4 separate regions of the Mus musculus genome follow, and all the other regions are reported to be linked to region 4. Evidence: microRNA targets listed by miRTarBase, many of them from high-throughput screens and not tested one by one. Region 4 holds a microRNA gene; each other region holds the end of a gene's coding sequence.

The links. The annotated mature microRNA mmu-miR-297a-5p reads AUGUAUGUGUGCAUGUGCAUGU and lies in region 4 at 2,222-2,243, opposite strand. An mRNA with a match to its seed (bases 2 to 7 or 8) in the 3' UTR can be bound and repressed. Matches are read on the target gene's strand: a 7mer-m8 pairs with bases 2 to 8, a 7mer-A1 pairs with bases 2 to 7 and ends in A, and an 8mer does both.
Region 1: miRTarBase lists Cyria as a target of mmu-miR-297a-5p. Seed matches in the 3' UTR shown: 7mer-A1 at 1,572-1,578, 7mer-m8 at 716-722, 7mer-m8 at 712-718, 7mer-m8 at 708-714, 7mer-m8 at 704-710, 7mer-m8 at 700-706 and 1 more.
Region 2: the mRNA of Syngr3 is a reported target of mmu-miR-297a-5p. The part of its 3' UTR that is shown has no 7-base or 8-base seed match.
Region 3: miRTarBase lists Il18r1 as a target of mmu-miR-297a-5p. Seed matches in the 3' UTR shown: 7mer-m8 at 2,037-2,043, 7mer-m8 at 2,033-2,039, 8mer at 2,028-2,035, 8mer at 2,014-2,021, 8mer at 1,960-1,967, 7mer-m8 at 1,953-1,959 and 3 more.

Annotation. Positions count from the first base shown.
Region 1 is chr12:12,372,211-12,375,895 of GRCm38, reverse strand. It overlaps Cyria (CYFIP related Rac1 interactor A), which reads right to left. Exons shown (of 12, transcript NM_001146119.2): 12 at 1-3,149. The coding sequence ends at 3,086. 4921511I17Rik (RIKEN cDNA 4921511I17 gene) reads left to right here. Exons shown (of 5, transcript NR_045829.1): 3 at 2,812-2,895. Among named protein-coding and RNA genes, the nearest start is that of 4921511I17Rik, 18 kb to the left of the region's middle.
Region 2 is chr17:24,683,102-24,686,786 of GRCm38, reverse strand. It overlaps Syngr3 (synaptogyrin 3), which reads left to right. Exons shown (of 4, transcript NM_011522.3): 3 at 126-268; 4 at 347-1,695. The coding sequence ends at 556. Among named protein-coding and RNA genes, the nearest start is that of Syngr3, 5.0 kb to the left of the region's middle.
Region 3 is chr1:40,498,485-40,502,112 of GRCm38, reverse strand. Il18r1 (interleukin 18 receptor 1) reads right to left here. Exons shown (of 11, transcript NM_008365.2): 11 at 1,259-3,628. The coding sequence ends at 3,423. Among named protein-coding and RNA genes, the nearest start is that of Il18rap, 15 kb to the left of the region's middle.
Region 4 is chr2:10,515,635-10,519,319 of GRCm38, reverse strand. It overlaps Mir297a-4 (microRNA 297a-4), which reads right to left and starts at 2,253; the gene lies at 2,156-2,253. The region is part of intron 10 of Sfmbt2 (Scm-like with four mbt domains 2); the gene reads right to left. Mir466l (microRNA 466l) reads right to left here and starts at 3,223; the gene lies at 3,103-3,223. Mir669i (microRNA 669i) reads right to left here and starts at 1,716; the gene lies at 1,590-1,716. It also overlaps Mir669h and Mir297a-3.

The sequences.
Region 1 (3,685 bases), not on the chromosome of region 4:
TATATTAACTAAATATTTAAAAACACCCAACACCTCCTTCAACGTTGTTAGCTAATATTCTGGCTCTATTGTGTCATCACAAATAAAAATTTCTCTTTCCACCCAACTTTTGCTGTGAAAGCCTAGGTGAACCTCAGAGAAGCGACCATGCCAAAAGCAGCAACATGGCTGGGAAACCTCATTTTTACCTTCTTTCTTGCTTCAAATTAATTATCTGAGTTATAGAAAACACTTTACTTGAAAGCTATAAGATATCAATTATGAAGTATTATTAACATCGACATCATTGCTGGTACTTTTTCCCAAACAACCCGTGAGTGTTGGATAAATGTGCATGCAGCACGAAAGAGAAAAAAGGGGAAGAAAACCCAAATTGTTCAAGGATTCCCGATACCTACTGGACAGTCTGTTAAGAGTATTGGTCTCCCACCACAGTTCTGGAGTGGACTCAAGGCCCACTCCCTGTTAGTGATCACAGACACTCAGTCTGTCCCCCTGATGACCTGAGGCTATTATTTAGAGCCTGGGCTTCTCAAAATCCAAGTCCTGTTGAGTCTCATCTTGGAGATACTGGACTGGCTAGACTGAAGCAGACTGACAGCACCCATACACACATTTGGTCCCATTTAATAGAAAGTCTAACTAAGAGTTACAAATGTCCTAAGCTATTATTTATTTATTTATTTATTTATTTATGTATGTATGTATGTATGTATGTATGTATATTCTGACAGTTAATCCCTAATGTTTCCTTATGTAGCCAGCTGAGAGGCAGCTATGGTGTAGATACGTGGCTTGGGTTCATGGCTCAGGTCTGTGTCTAAGAGCCCAATAGAAACTGGGCAGTTCTTTGTTCTTTGAAATCCTAATCTCCTCTGTTGAGGAAAGAGCAAATGGACAAATGCTTATTGTGCATCTCTGCTCTTGTAGGCGTGAGAGTTGCCCAAATAAGCATTGCCTATGGCTGCCAAATAGAAAATCCCTAAAGCTGAACACTGGAGAATGTCTTACTGCCACAGGATTGTGTTTTCTAGCTTCCTCGAGATTTTGGAATTTCTAGGTTTGACAAGATCATGGAAGCCATCTAGCACAACTCTTAGAGAATGCTTAGGCCAGTCAATGGCCACATTTACTCTGCTGGTAACGCTCCAAGTGACAAAGTCTTTATGCTCGCTGTTGACTATGCTAACATAAGCTGGGGAACTGGTTCTCCCATTTGTCTGCATTTGGTTTTTTGAAATGAACCAAGTATCATCTTTCTTGGAGGACTCAAAGGAATGCTGGATGGCCACCTTAGTCTGGAAGTATTGCCTTGGGATGTTGCAAACCAAATAATACCACACCCTAATCATCCTAGACCTGACTTCCAGGATTATCATTCATTCAGTTGTCTGGAAAATTCTCTCCTTCTAGCAGAGATTTACAAGTAATCAAACAGGCTAGACTAAAAACTTCTCTACAGTGGTCCATAGACTCCATAGTATATATTCTTAGGCCACATGGTGATCAGGAAGAGTATAGTAGAGTCAGGTGGGAAACACTCAAGGATTTAGTTCTACGTACAACTCACCTTGTATGCCCATATCTTTTCATTGGAGGTCAGAATATGTTTCAAGATTCCATCCTAGCTCAGTTCTGACCTATAGGCAGAATGATTGCAGTCCTGAAGATATTGATATTCATCAAGATGGGTGGGGTAGTACTCATTGGATTTATGCATGAAGAAAGGTTAGTGTAGTGGCTCCTAGTAGCCTTCCATTTTAGATTTAAAAAAAAGATTTATCTTATTTCATGTGTCTCAGTATTTTTTTCTGCATGTATATAAGTGTACTGTGTGCATGCCTGATGCCCATAGAGATCAGAAGAGGGCACTGGATCCCATGCATCGGGAGTATTGGATAGTTGTGGGCCACTGAGTGGGTGCTGGGAATCCAATCCAGGTCCTCTGCAACAGCAACAGGTACTCTTAACCACTGAGCCATATGATGAAGGTGAGACAAAAAGTGAATTTGCCGAAGTACTCAGACTAGTGGGGGCTGACTCCAGGTAATTAGAAATCGTAGATTTCCTCTCTCTAAATTCCTCCAGTTTTCTGATAATGAACGAAGTGCTTTAGTTCTCAGCTCTGATATGAACAGTCCATTTTGATACAGAATGGGAGCTCCCATATTAAGACGGGTGGTGTACCTAGAACTCTGCAGACTCCTGGGAGGTGACTGATCTTAGTTATGATATCACAACCAGAGTTCCATTTATCTGTCCCTGCAGGCAGAGGGTTGACACAGATAAGACTGTCCTTATGCCAACTCTCTCTCTCTCTCTTTCTCTCTAATATTCTTTTTTAAAAAAAGAAATAATATTCTTAAGATAGTCACTTTTCTCAATTCTCCTGCAAGAAGCCCTCTGTCCATCCCATAGCCTCCTCATTAGCTGATTAAAACACAGACAATTTTCCTCTTGCAAATACTAAAAGGGAATGAAAGGGACACAAACCGAGACAGAAGGAGAATATTCAGATTAATAAAACACGTGCATATAGAAAAGCTGCACGTGAGGTTTGCAGGCGGCAGGAAGAGGGTGGGGGACGTGCTGAACTCAGAACTCTTGTGCGCCGCTCTCCACATGCAGTTTTCTTATCTTGGATCTTCTCTCTCTGTTCTCTGTCAGGGTAACAGTTGTGTGTGTTTCTTGTATCTGAGCCGACACAGGAAATCAAGTACTTTGTGTTTCTATAAACTATACTCCCAGAGAGATAAAACATCTAGAATTAAAACCATACCACAAGCGATTAAGAATTTCTGATTGTTACAGGTATCACTACAGGACTCCAGCAGCCAAGGTTGAAGTTTCCGAATCTGGCCCTTGGTGAAAGGAGTTTCGCTTCAGACATCAAAGGTAAGGCGCTCAAGTCAATTTATGCTCGGCTGGGTTGAATCAGTCAGGATACAAATTCAGGTCCATATATTTCAGTGACAAGAAGGAAATGGTTATGTAAATACACAAGTATTAACATCAATCTGTATTAAATTATGTAAACATCTACATCTTCTGAGGTCAGCATAGATCCTCCTCTCTGAGCAGGCCTCTACTGAAGCATCGCTCGAATCTGTTTGGAAGTCGATTCATCATTCAAGTGCTTTGTGGTGAACCTGAATGGGGAAAGAGAGTTTCATGTCAGGGCTTGCCCATTTGAAATTTGTAAATCCAACAGTGCGTGCTCGTTTCCTTAGAGAAGGACCCATAGGTTGGTTCTCATTCTATATACTTTCTGCAAGTTTTTATTTGACTTAGATTGGTTTTACTCTATGCTCCAGATTGACTCTCTGTAACCCATGATGGCCTTAAACTCAGGGAAATCCTCCTGTCTCAGCCTCCCTATTGCTGAGATCAAAGGCATACACCACAATGCTAAGCTTCTAATGAGCTTGTGTGATGATTATTAAAATCATTTTTTTAAAAATCTCATTAGATGACTACGCAAAGGGGACAAACTGATCTCATTTTCTCAGAGATAAAGTTCACAGCGCTTAGTTCAGCATCTTGTTCTTCGAGGCTGAGCAATTATGGCATCCAGAAATTTAGATGTTGCTGTCTATCTACTGTAGGAGCTGTACATCCTCCACTGCTGCTAGGGGCCACAAGTGAGGTACACAAACAAAAGTGCAATCTAAAGCATCTTATTCAT
Region 2 (3,685 bases), not on the chromosome of region 4:
CGGGGCTTTGGAGGTCATGTGAATGGCAATTTGCTGGTGAACCTAAGGGACATTGCACTTTCTCTGAATGCGCGAGGTGGGTCCTGTTGGCGGAGCACTATCTGATCATCAGCTCCCACCTGCAGGGGTCTGGTCCTTCCTGTGGTTCGTAGGCTTCTGTTTCCTCACCAATCAGTGGCAACGAACAACGCCAGGGCCAGGCACCGCGCAGGCTGGAGATGCGGCGCGTGCTGCCATCGCTTTCAGCTTCTTCTCCATCCTCAGCTGGGTGAGTGAGGGACCCGTGGGTGGCAGGGTTGGGGGTGTCTCCAGGTTTTCCCCAGCTGACCCTGATTCCCTCACCCAGGTGGCGCTCACCGTGAAGGCCCTGCAGCGGTTCCGCCTAGGCACCGATATGTCTCTCTTTGCCACAGATCAGCTAGGTACTGGGGCTGCCCAGGCCTACCCAGGCTACCCAGTGGGCAGTGGTGTGGAGGGTACAGAAACATACCAGAGCCCGCCCTTCACTGAGACCCTGGACACCAGCTCCAAAGGGTACCAGGTGCCTGCCTATTAGTAGGTGTTAGGCTCCGGCCAGGGCTGGAAGGCCACCTCACCACCGTAGGCCTCAAGGCCTCCTGAGACCTTTTCTGGGTCCTACCGTGCCAAGGACAGAGAAGGTGGCCACTATGGGCCTCTGGGACCAAGGGGAGTAGCCTCCCTGGTGCCTGGACTGTCCCCACAAAGTTCCCCCCTAGCCAGAGATCTCAGTCTTAAGGCCCTGAGAAGAAAACTACTTCTTGGAGTGGACTGGCCTGGGAGGCATTCCTTTTATGGGCCAGCCAACCAGGGACTCACCTGTCCACTCTAGGTCAGAAGTCCAGCTGCCTCCCAGCTCAGGGTGCAAGGGCTCTGGGGACCAGGGAGAGGGAGACTAATTGTACCCTTAGGTGGGGATTATGGCCCTTGTTCCCAGTCCCATGTCCCTGGCTCCACATGGTGGTCCACCCTGTCCAGAGGCTCCCTCCCCTCCTCTTACAGGATCCCTAGAGCAGCTCAGCCCTGTCGGTGTCGTGATTGTGATTAAGTCTTCAGGTCTCATCTCATAGTGCCCCCATAAGCCGCCCCTCTCTGTGTGGCTCCTGCCCAGGTGTTTCTGGCCAGGAAGGTATAGACAACTATGGGCCTGGGCACCCGCCCTTCAGTAAGACCTTCCCTAGGGAACAGACAGCTGGGTACCTGGGTGCCAGGCAAGACAAGACTCTTACAAGGAGAGGACTAAAGGTCTCATCTGCCCAGGGTGTCACTGGAGAGTCGTTCCTGTAAATGGCTTAACCTTGGCTTCCTGAACCAGTCCCTCCCTAGTCTATCTTCTATCCCCTTTTAAGGCCCAGACCAGGTGTGGGTCCTTGTGCATAGCAGACTACTCATACATTGCTTGAAGCTGGCTTTTCACATCAAGTCAAAACCAAACTCGTTGCCATGTCTCATTCTTCCAGACAAAATGCCTCCCTGTGGAGTTGCAGTTGAATGACAACCCTGTACGTTGTAGCATAGACCAATCATGTGGATATTTAAGTGAACATGTTTACAATTTTTGTATATATGGATCTATTCCTTTTCCTCTGAAAGAACAATCCATGATTGTGTATTTTCAGTGTCCCCTGTTACAACTGCAACTTCTTTACAATAAAGACTGTACGTGCATTGACCATCAGTAAGGTCCCCTGGACTTATTCTTTGTCCCTTTCCCTCCTGTGTTGGGGGCTGCAGTCTCAGGGCATCAGGGCCCATAAATCAGGAGTGGAGGAGTAGGAAGGTGGGGATCAGGCTGATTCCCAGGTTCTCGAGAAAGACCACACAACTATGATTCCTTAACGGAGCACATTGCTCGGGTGAAGTGTGCCGCTCCATGCAGGCTTGGCTCTGAAATGCTGCAGACCTCTGCTCTTTTATCCTTTTTCTTTCTTCCTCTTTCTTTTTTTGATGTAATCTGTGATTTGGTTTGTTTCTTTTGTTCTCTCTCTCTCTCTCTCTCTCTCTCTCTCTCTCTCTCTCTCTCTCTCTCTCTCTTTTCGGGACAGGGTTTCTCTGTGAGTTCTCTAGAACTCACTTTGTAGACCAGGTTGGCCTCGAACTCAGAAATCCGCCTGCCTCTGCCTCCCGAGTGTGCCACTACGCCTGGTTTACCCCACCCCTTTAAAAAAGTTTCTCTGTAGCCCTGGTTGTCTTGGAACTCACTTTGTAGACCAGGCTGGCCTTGAACTCAGAAATCCGCCTGCCTCTGCCTCCTGAGTCCTGGACTAAAGGCGTGCGCCACCACTGCCTGGCTTGTCAGGCGTTATTGATGCTATGGAGCTGTTCAGACCTGGCCCATGTGAATACTCCAGTGTTCAGTCTAAGACCAGATTGATGGTAAGATCTGTAGGATATATGGGCACCCAGGGGATGAGCCTCCCGTCTCATTACTTTATAGGGGTCACAGTCATAAGTTCCTGACTCTATTTGATCTTTGTAGCATTTCCCAGTTCCCTGGGGCTCCCTCCTCAGTCCTCTGTTAAAAAAGCTAGACAGTGGTGGCACACGCCTTTAATTCCAGCACTCAGGAGGCAAAGGCAGGCGGATTTCTGAGTTCAAGGCCAGCCTGGTCTACAGTGTGAGTTCCAAGACAGCCAGGGCTACACAGAGAAACCCTGTCTCGGAAAAAAAAAAAAGTTATCCTGGTCTACAGAACAAAATAAAAACAAAACAAAAAACGGGAAAGAAAAGAAAGCTAGATTTTGTCTTTAGCCATATTATCTCAAACACATCTTGGAAGGTAAGCAGGGTTGGGTCTGATTAGTTCTTAGATAGGAGAAAACTAGGCTTCTCTATTTACCCCGCTCTGTATTCAAACCATGATTACCCTATGACAGCTCCATCCAGGAGAGGAAGGATCCTTCCTTTCAGATACGTAGACATCACCAGGCCTCTGACACTGTCCTGTCCCTCCCTACCAGGATAATTTGCTGCTTCCTTCTCTCTCTCTCTCTCTCTCTCTCTCTCTCTCTCTCTCTCTTTCTCTTGCTCATCAATGGTGGTGCATGCCTTTAATTCCAGCAGGCAGATCTCTCAGTTCAAGGCCAGCCTAGTCTACAGAACCAGTTCCAGGACAGCCTGGGCTATATAGAGAAACCCTGTCTTGAAAAACAAAACTTAAAAAAAAAAAAAAGGAAAAAGAAAAACAAAACTAAAAATGAATAAATAGGGCTGGGCTGGAGAGATGGCTCAGCAGATAAGAGCACTGACTGCTCTTCAGAAGGTCCTGAGTTCAAATCCCAGCAACCACATGGTGACTCACAACCATCTGTAATGAGATTGGATACACTCTTCTGGTGTGTCTGAAGACAGCTACAGTATACTTACAATAAATAAATAAATCTTTAAAACAAAACAAAAAAAAACACCTCCAGTTCAAAGTGATCCAGGGTTATCTTTTGGCTTTCCTGGATACCACCCACCCACCCCCATGATACATACGCATGCAGGCAAAACATTCATACATGTAAAATAAAGGTTTTTTTTTTGTTTGTTTGTTTGTTTGAGACAGGATTTCTCTGTGTAGCCCTGGCTGTCCTGGAACTCACTTTGTAGACCAGGCTGGCCTCGAACTCAGAAATCCACCTGCCTCTGCCTCCCAAGTGCTGGGATTAAAGGTGTGAGCCAT
Region 3 (3,628 bases), not on the chromosome of region 4:
CCTTCTTGAAAATATGATTTTCCCTAGCTTTCATTTCTTCTTCAGAGCCACACTTCAGGAGCCGGTAGCTCCTGAGATCCTTCCCAGCAGCCTCCACCCACACTCACACTTCAGTGAGTCCCTTGGCTGCCTTGTCACTGATCGTCGCCTCTCTAGTCTTCCCTCCATGTATCTTGGGGATACTATGTAGAGTCATGTCTCACTTAGGAAATGCTTTCATCTGGCTTTGTCTTTTTACCCCAAGCTGAATGGCGTATAAGGAGCCCTGAACAACCCCTTGCTCTTTCCCTATTCTGAGCCACGCCTAATGCCATTAGTGGCCTGAGTGTTTGCTGTAACCAACCACATCCAGCTTGTACTTGAGGATGTTCTTGTGCAATCACAGGAGGGAAGTCATACCTGATATTATCAACATGGTCACAAGGCCAAGGCTAGCATAGCACGTAGGGTGGGACCAACTATTGTTAAGTTGCTAAGTGCCAATATTGTCAAAACTCCTTTTAAGTGTCTATGTTTATGCCTGTGGACCTTGGCTTCTCTCAGCCTTGATTAAAAAAGCTTTCTCTTTTTTTTTTCGGTGAGTGGCAGTCAATGCAAAGAAAGACTCGTAACAGATCAAAGTTCTGAGAGCAAGTGAATCTGAGTGCTCAGCCCTGATTAGACATCTTTGTTAGCTCCACCTTGCCTCCTGCCAAAGCTCAGGGGCCATCCTGGAAGAGGAGGCAGGAAGAATGGGAGAGCTGGAGATTGCACAGCAGCACAAGACCAAACCAGCCAACACTGCAGCATCCATGGGAAAGATGTCATGAGGTTTCTGGCTCTAACTGTTGGCAGATGATAGCTGCTGGGGGAGATAGAATCGGTCTTCTTTGTAATTGTGGTTCCTAGTTAGTGTGTGCATGTTCTAGTGGGTGGCCCCATGCTGCATCTACAGGAAACACTAACTGGACTTAGGTTATTTCAAAACTGAGGGCGATAATTACGTGGGGTACATGTTGGGGAGAGGTGGCAAGAGAGAATGGGTGTGGGTATAATATTTCACTGTATAAAATATGACGTTCTTAAAGAGTAAATTTTTCAAAAATATACACACAGGATTTTAAAGCGATAGTTGCAGATGGGCTGTATTAAATTTCCCTCAGCTCCTTACAGCAGGTGGGGATCCATGGTGAAAACCAGGCAGTGCAGTGTTCACCAAAACAAAGGAAAAGGATGTCAAGAAACCTCAGGACAAATGAAAAGGACATCAAGAGACATCTCCAGTCTAATGTATGTATTTGGCAGATTTAATACAAAATATATTTCATATAAAATAAACTTCATGTGTCGAAGCTTGGCTGATAGAAGAACAAAGCGAAGTCTCAAACTCTCCCAACTCTCTTCTGATGCTAGGTTTTCACACACAGCTGTTGTGACAGCAGATGTTGAATGAATTTACCTTCTTTTCTCAAGTCAGTCAAATAGCACATGAAGTCATGAGTTACAAAAATTACTTAAGAATCCCCATTCTTCTTGTTTTTTTTTCTGTTTCCTTTCCTTTCATTTGGTTTGGTTTGGTTTTCCTAAAATCTACTGTGTTTGTTCAGCACAGTCTCTGCTCTAGACTTCCCTAGAATATTCTTGCTTCACTCAGGCACTTGCAAGGTCACAAGAAGCTTTGGGCTTCTCTGAATCTTCTTTTTTATGCAAGGGTAGCATACACCTACACACACACAGACAGACAGACACACACACACACACACACACACACACACACACACACACATGGGAGCGGGGGGCAATTCCCACAGACAGCTACTGTTTTGAACCATGGAGGAGGCCCCAGTGTGACAACTCTCTTTAGAGAAACAAAAGTATCTTCCAGTGCCGAGAGATGCATATTTCAGCAGGAGGTGTTGTGTGTGTGTGTGTGTGTGTGTGTGTGTGTGTGTGTGTGTGTGTATGTGTGTGTATGTATGTTTGTATGTGTTTCTGTGTGTGCGGTTCTATGTTTGTGTTTATGTGTGTTTCTGTTTGTATGTGTGTTTTTGTATGTATGTATGTTTATGTGTGTATGCTTATGTATATTGTGTTTCTTCTACTGCTATGTTTCTCCTCTGCCCTCTCCACTTGTTGCTCCTATTTGTAGACCCATTTCCCAACCTGCTCTCTGGCTCCCATTCCCTCTACTGTGGAATCACTGAGCCAATGAATGAGAGCAGTTACTGCCATCAACAATAAGAGCCATGTTTACAGAGTAGTCTTTAGTGCCCTTGGGAACTAGCTGTATTTACTTTAAACTCTGATTTTAGAAATGAGTAAACTGAAGTATGAGAAGTTGGATAAAATTCCAGAGCTCACAAAATCCAAGATTGTCCATCAAATTTGGCTGCACATACCACACCGTCAACTGCCACACCAAAACTGCCTGCATGCCCAGGGCACCAGAATTGGCTCATAAAAACAGCAAGCATTTGTTGATTGTTTGCTACAGTTTAGCAGCTAGTATGATCCTACAGATAAACATTTACACAAAGCCAACAAAAACTTAAAGCCACTAAAGTTGAAAGGCCCACTGAGTTCTCTGAATTTAAACTTCTGTCTGCAATAAACGATATCGCAGGTTCCATTTCAAAGGATGTACGAAAAGGTTGAAGAAACAAGGAAGTCCTGCTTGACGTCTGACTGACTTTCTAAGAACTACCTTGCAACACCAAACTCATCCTGAAGCCAAGTTCCTGGAGCTTTCTCTCATCCCATTTCTCTTGTGTTTCCAGCTTTTTCTCTCACCTCTTGCACCTCCCAAGCCTGGGAGAGAGCCATGTACCCTTGAGATGCAGTAAAGATTGGCTCATAGAAAATGCCTCGGAGCGCATAAAATTCTCCAGTTGGAATCCACTGTTAGTTGAAAAATTCTGAAGAGGTGCCTTATTTAGGGGCATAAATCAGTTTGCCAGCCTACCTCCATCTTGGCTGAATGGAACGGTATGCAGACAGCTCTAGGCCAGCGGTTCTCAACCTTCCTAATGCTTCAACCCTTTAATACAGTTCTTCACACTGTGGTGAAACCCCCAACCATAAAACTTTTTTCGTTGCTACTTTGTAACTGTGAGTTGGCTACAGTTATGAATCATAGCGTACATCTATTTTGGAGATAAAGGTTTGCCAAAGGGGCCACAACCCACAGGTTGGGAATCACTGCTCCAGAGGAAGAAAGAATAACAAACTGATTTCTTGTGAATCCCAAGGCCCCCTCTGCGAGTTCAGGATCACAACCAAGGCTCTGTTTCATCTGTGATGACCCGATGACAACTCTCCTAACTGGGAGTGGGGGGTATAGTCACAAAATTCAGCCTTTTGAACCACAGCTACCGCTGTGAATAGGCACACGCATGACCTCTAGCAGCGCTTCACTTGCTTTTGACATCAAGCTCGTCTGGAGCTCAAGGTGCTGAGAGAACAGACCGCGCCTCCGACTCCTCTCTCCATGGCTTGACGGCTTTTGCGGGCATCAGGTAAACAAGATTCTTCCAGAACCTTGAGTTCATGGAGGGACTGTCAGCCCTCCATTTTAGAACTCTGTAGGACTTCAGGAGTTTCAGCGACGGGGGGAGAAAGGTGATGTTGCTGGCTGGAGTAAACTCAATTA
Region 4 (3,685 bases):
GTCATTTAAAACAGTAGGCATTCATGCATTCCCATGAGTTCTTCTTATTTACGATCAGGGAATACTGCAGAAAAACAACAGAACCTTAGGCAAGGGCAGAGGAACCAGAGAGTCCATTTGACCTGAACACTAGCCACAACGCTGCTTCTTACAGAAAAAGAATTAGGCTGGGACACATTTCGTACAACAATTAAAGCACTTCTCTGTGTAAAAGCAAGCACAGCATTCTAGTTTGAATTATGTTAGGAGACAAAGATATCACCAAAAATAGACTCTAATATCATATAAATATCAAGTGTTGACAGGGAAAAACAACACTTTAAAAAAATTCTTAAAGAATTATTAAATAAGCAAAAGGATTCTTAGTTTTTAACGACCAGAAATGTTTTCAATATTAAGAGCAACCCAGCTTTACCTCTTAACCCCATTCAATTAAAAGTGACCTTTTTCATAGAGAATGAAAGAGAAGACAGCTATTAATGAGGGAGGTATTCCAGTCTCCCGAGCCAGATGAACGATAAATTTTAAATTAAGATATATTGCAATCTGAAAACTCAAAGAAAATCATCAGGTGTACGAAAAACCAAAAGAATCACACCATAGCCTGCCTGTGTGCTGAGTTCCAGAGATCCAACTCAGGCTGTCAGGTTTCCACAGAAGCCATTTTCACCTGGAGGGAGAACTAGCCCTGGATCCGTTCTGCATAAGCTCTAAAGCTCTGAGTCACATCTCATTCAAATAGATCGATCAGAGCCACTAATGTGCGTGTAGGTGAATGCCAGTGTGTGTGTTTATGTATATGTATGTGAACATTCATATACATACATTTACATGCACACATAAGTATGAACCCATGCACATACATGGGGGAGGGCATCACATGAATCGCATGCTGATCTCTAACTCATCATGAAGTGAAACATGAATTTGAACTCCAGGACCTCCTGACGCTGGCAAGAGTATTCACCTCCTAACTGAGACATAGCTCTGGCCCAGTACTGCATAAGCTCTAAAGCTCTGAGTCACATACCATTCAAAAGGATAAACGAGTGTCATTCCTGTGTGTGAGTGTGTGTGTGTGTGCATGTGTGTATATGCATATTCATATAGAGAAATGAATATGCACTCAACTATACACCCATGCATATTTTTGGTGGGCATCACATGAATGCCAGGATGATCACAAACTTATCAGGAAGTTAAGCATGAATTTAAATTCCTGATCCTTCTAACTCTGGCAAGTGGTTTTCACCTGGTGAGTTAGATGTAACACTGACCCATAATTATACACTCTATAAAACTCTAAGCACATATAAATCAAACAGATCTATGACTGCCATTCTTATGTGTATATGTATGTGTGTGTGTATGTTCATATACATGCATGTACAAGCACACTTACCTACACATATATACACATACACAAGGACAATCAAATGAATTCCAGGCTGATCTCTAACTCATCATGAAGTTAAACATGAATTTGAACTCCGTATCCTCCTGACTCTGGAAAGAGTATCCACCTCCTAACTGAGGCATAGCTCTGGCCCAGTACTGCATAAGCTCTAAAGCTCTGAGTCACATATCATTCAAAAGGATATATGACTGTCATTCCTGTATGTGAGTTTGTATGCATGTGTGTATATGCATAGTCATATAGAGAAATGAATATGCACACAACTATACACACATGCACATTATTGGTGGGCATCACATGAATGCCAGGATGATCTCTAACTCATCAGGAAGTTAAACATAAATTAGACCTCCTGATCCTCCTGACTCTGGCAAGAATACTCACCTCCTAACTGAGACATAGCTCTGGTCCGTTACTGGATAAACTCTAAAGCTCTAAGTCACATACCATTCAAAAGGATATATGAGTGCCATTCCTGTGTGTGCTTGCGTGTATATGCATATTCATATAGAGAAATGAATATGCACACAACTATACACCCATGCACATTTTTGGTGGGCATCACACGAATCGCATCTGATCTCTAACTCATTATGAAGTTAAGCATGAATTCGAATTCCTGATCCTCCTGACTCTGGAAGGATTATTCACCCGGTGAGTGAGATCACGCACTGGCCCAGTCATACAGAACCTCTAAGACTAAGTCACATATCATTCAAATGGATCCATGAGTGGCGATTTTGCGTGTATTTGTGTGCATGCTTGTATGGGTATGTGTGTATGTATATGTATACTCATATACACACATGCACATGCACACATACATATACACACAGGCACATACACTGGGGGGGGGGGGCGCCATCACATGAATCTGAAGCTGATCCCTACCTAATCATGAATTTGAGAATGAATTTCCACTCCTGATCCTCCTGACTCTGGCAAGCATTTTCACCTTGTGAGTGAGAGCACCCACTGATCCAGCCCTGCATAATCTCTCAAACTCTAAGTCACATACCTTTAAGGCCTGACTCTGGCAAGCACTTTGACCTGTTGAGTAAGAGCATGCACGGGCACAGTACTGCATAATCTTTAAAACTCTTAGTCACATATTATGCAAGTAGATGAATGCAAGTCACCATGTGTTTGTGTGTGTGTTGCATGTGTGTGTGTGTCTGCACATGCATATCCATATACATTCATGAACATGCACACACATGTAAGCACACGTGCACATACATGGGTGGCATCAAATGAATACCAGGATGATCTCTAAATGGAGTTTGAACTCCTGATCCTCCTGACTTTGTCAATCATTTACACCTGGTGATTGAGACCATTCACTGTCCCTCTACTGCATAATCTCTAAAACTCTAAGTCATATATCATTCAAATGGATCGATGAGTACCATTCCTATGTTTGTGTGTTTCTGTGCTTGCATTTATACATGTGTGGATGTTATATATATTCATATACACACATGCACACACAACTATACACACGTTCACATGCATGGGGGGAATCACATAAATCACAGGCTGATCTCTAAGTCCTCATGAGTGTAAGCATGCATTTAAGCTCCTGATAGACCTGACTCTGGCAGTTGTCTACACCTGATGAGTGAGAACACTCACTGTCCCCGTACTGCATAATCTCTCACCTCTAAGTCACATGTTATTCAAATGGATCTAAGAGTGCCATTAATGTGTGCGTGTGCATGCATGAATATGTGTGCATGTATTTATATGTATATCAATATATATATACATGTACATGTACACACAAACACACATGCACATACATAGGGGTCATCACATGAATGCCAGGTTGATCTCTACCTCATCATGCAGTGAACATGAATTTGCACTCCTGATCATCCTGGCTCTGGCAAGGGGCGTCACCTGGTGAGTGAGACCTCTCTGTGGCCCAGTCATACAGAATCTCTAAGACTCACATATCATTGAAATGGATCGATGAGTGTCAATTTTCTGTGTGTTTGTGTGCATGTTTGTATGGGTATGTGTGTATGTATATGTATATTCATATACACACATGCACATGCACACATACATATACACACAGGCACATACACTGGGGGCATCACTAGAATCCGAAGCTGATCCTGGACTCATGAATTTGAGAATGAATTTCCACTCCTGATCCTCCTGACTCTGGCAAGCATTTTCACCTTGTGAGTGAGAGCACCCACTGATCCAGCCCTGCATAATCTCTAAAACTTTAAGTCACATGTCATTTAAAAGTATCAA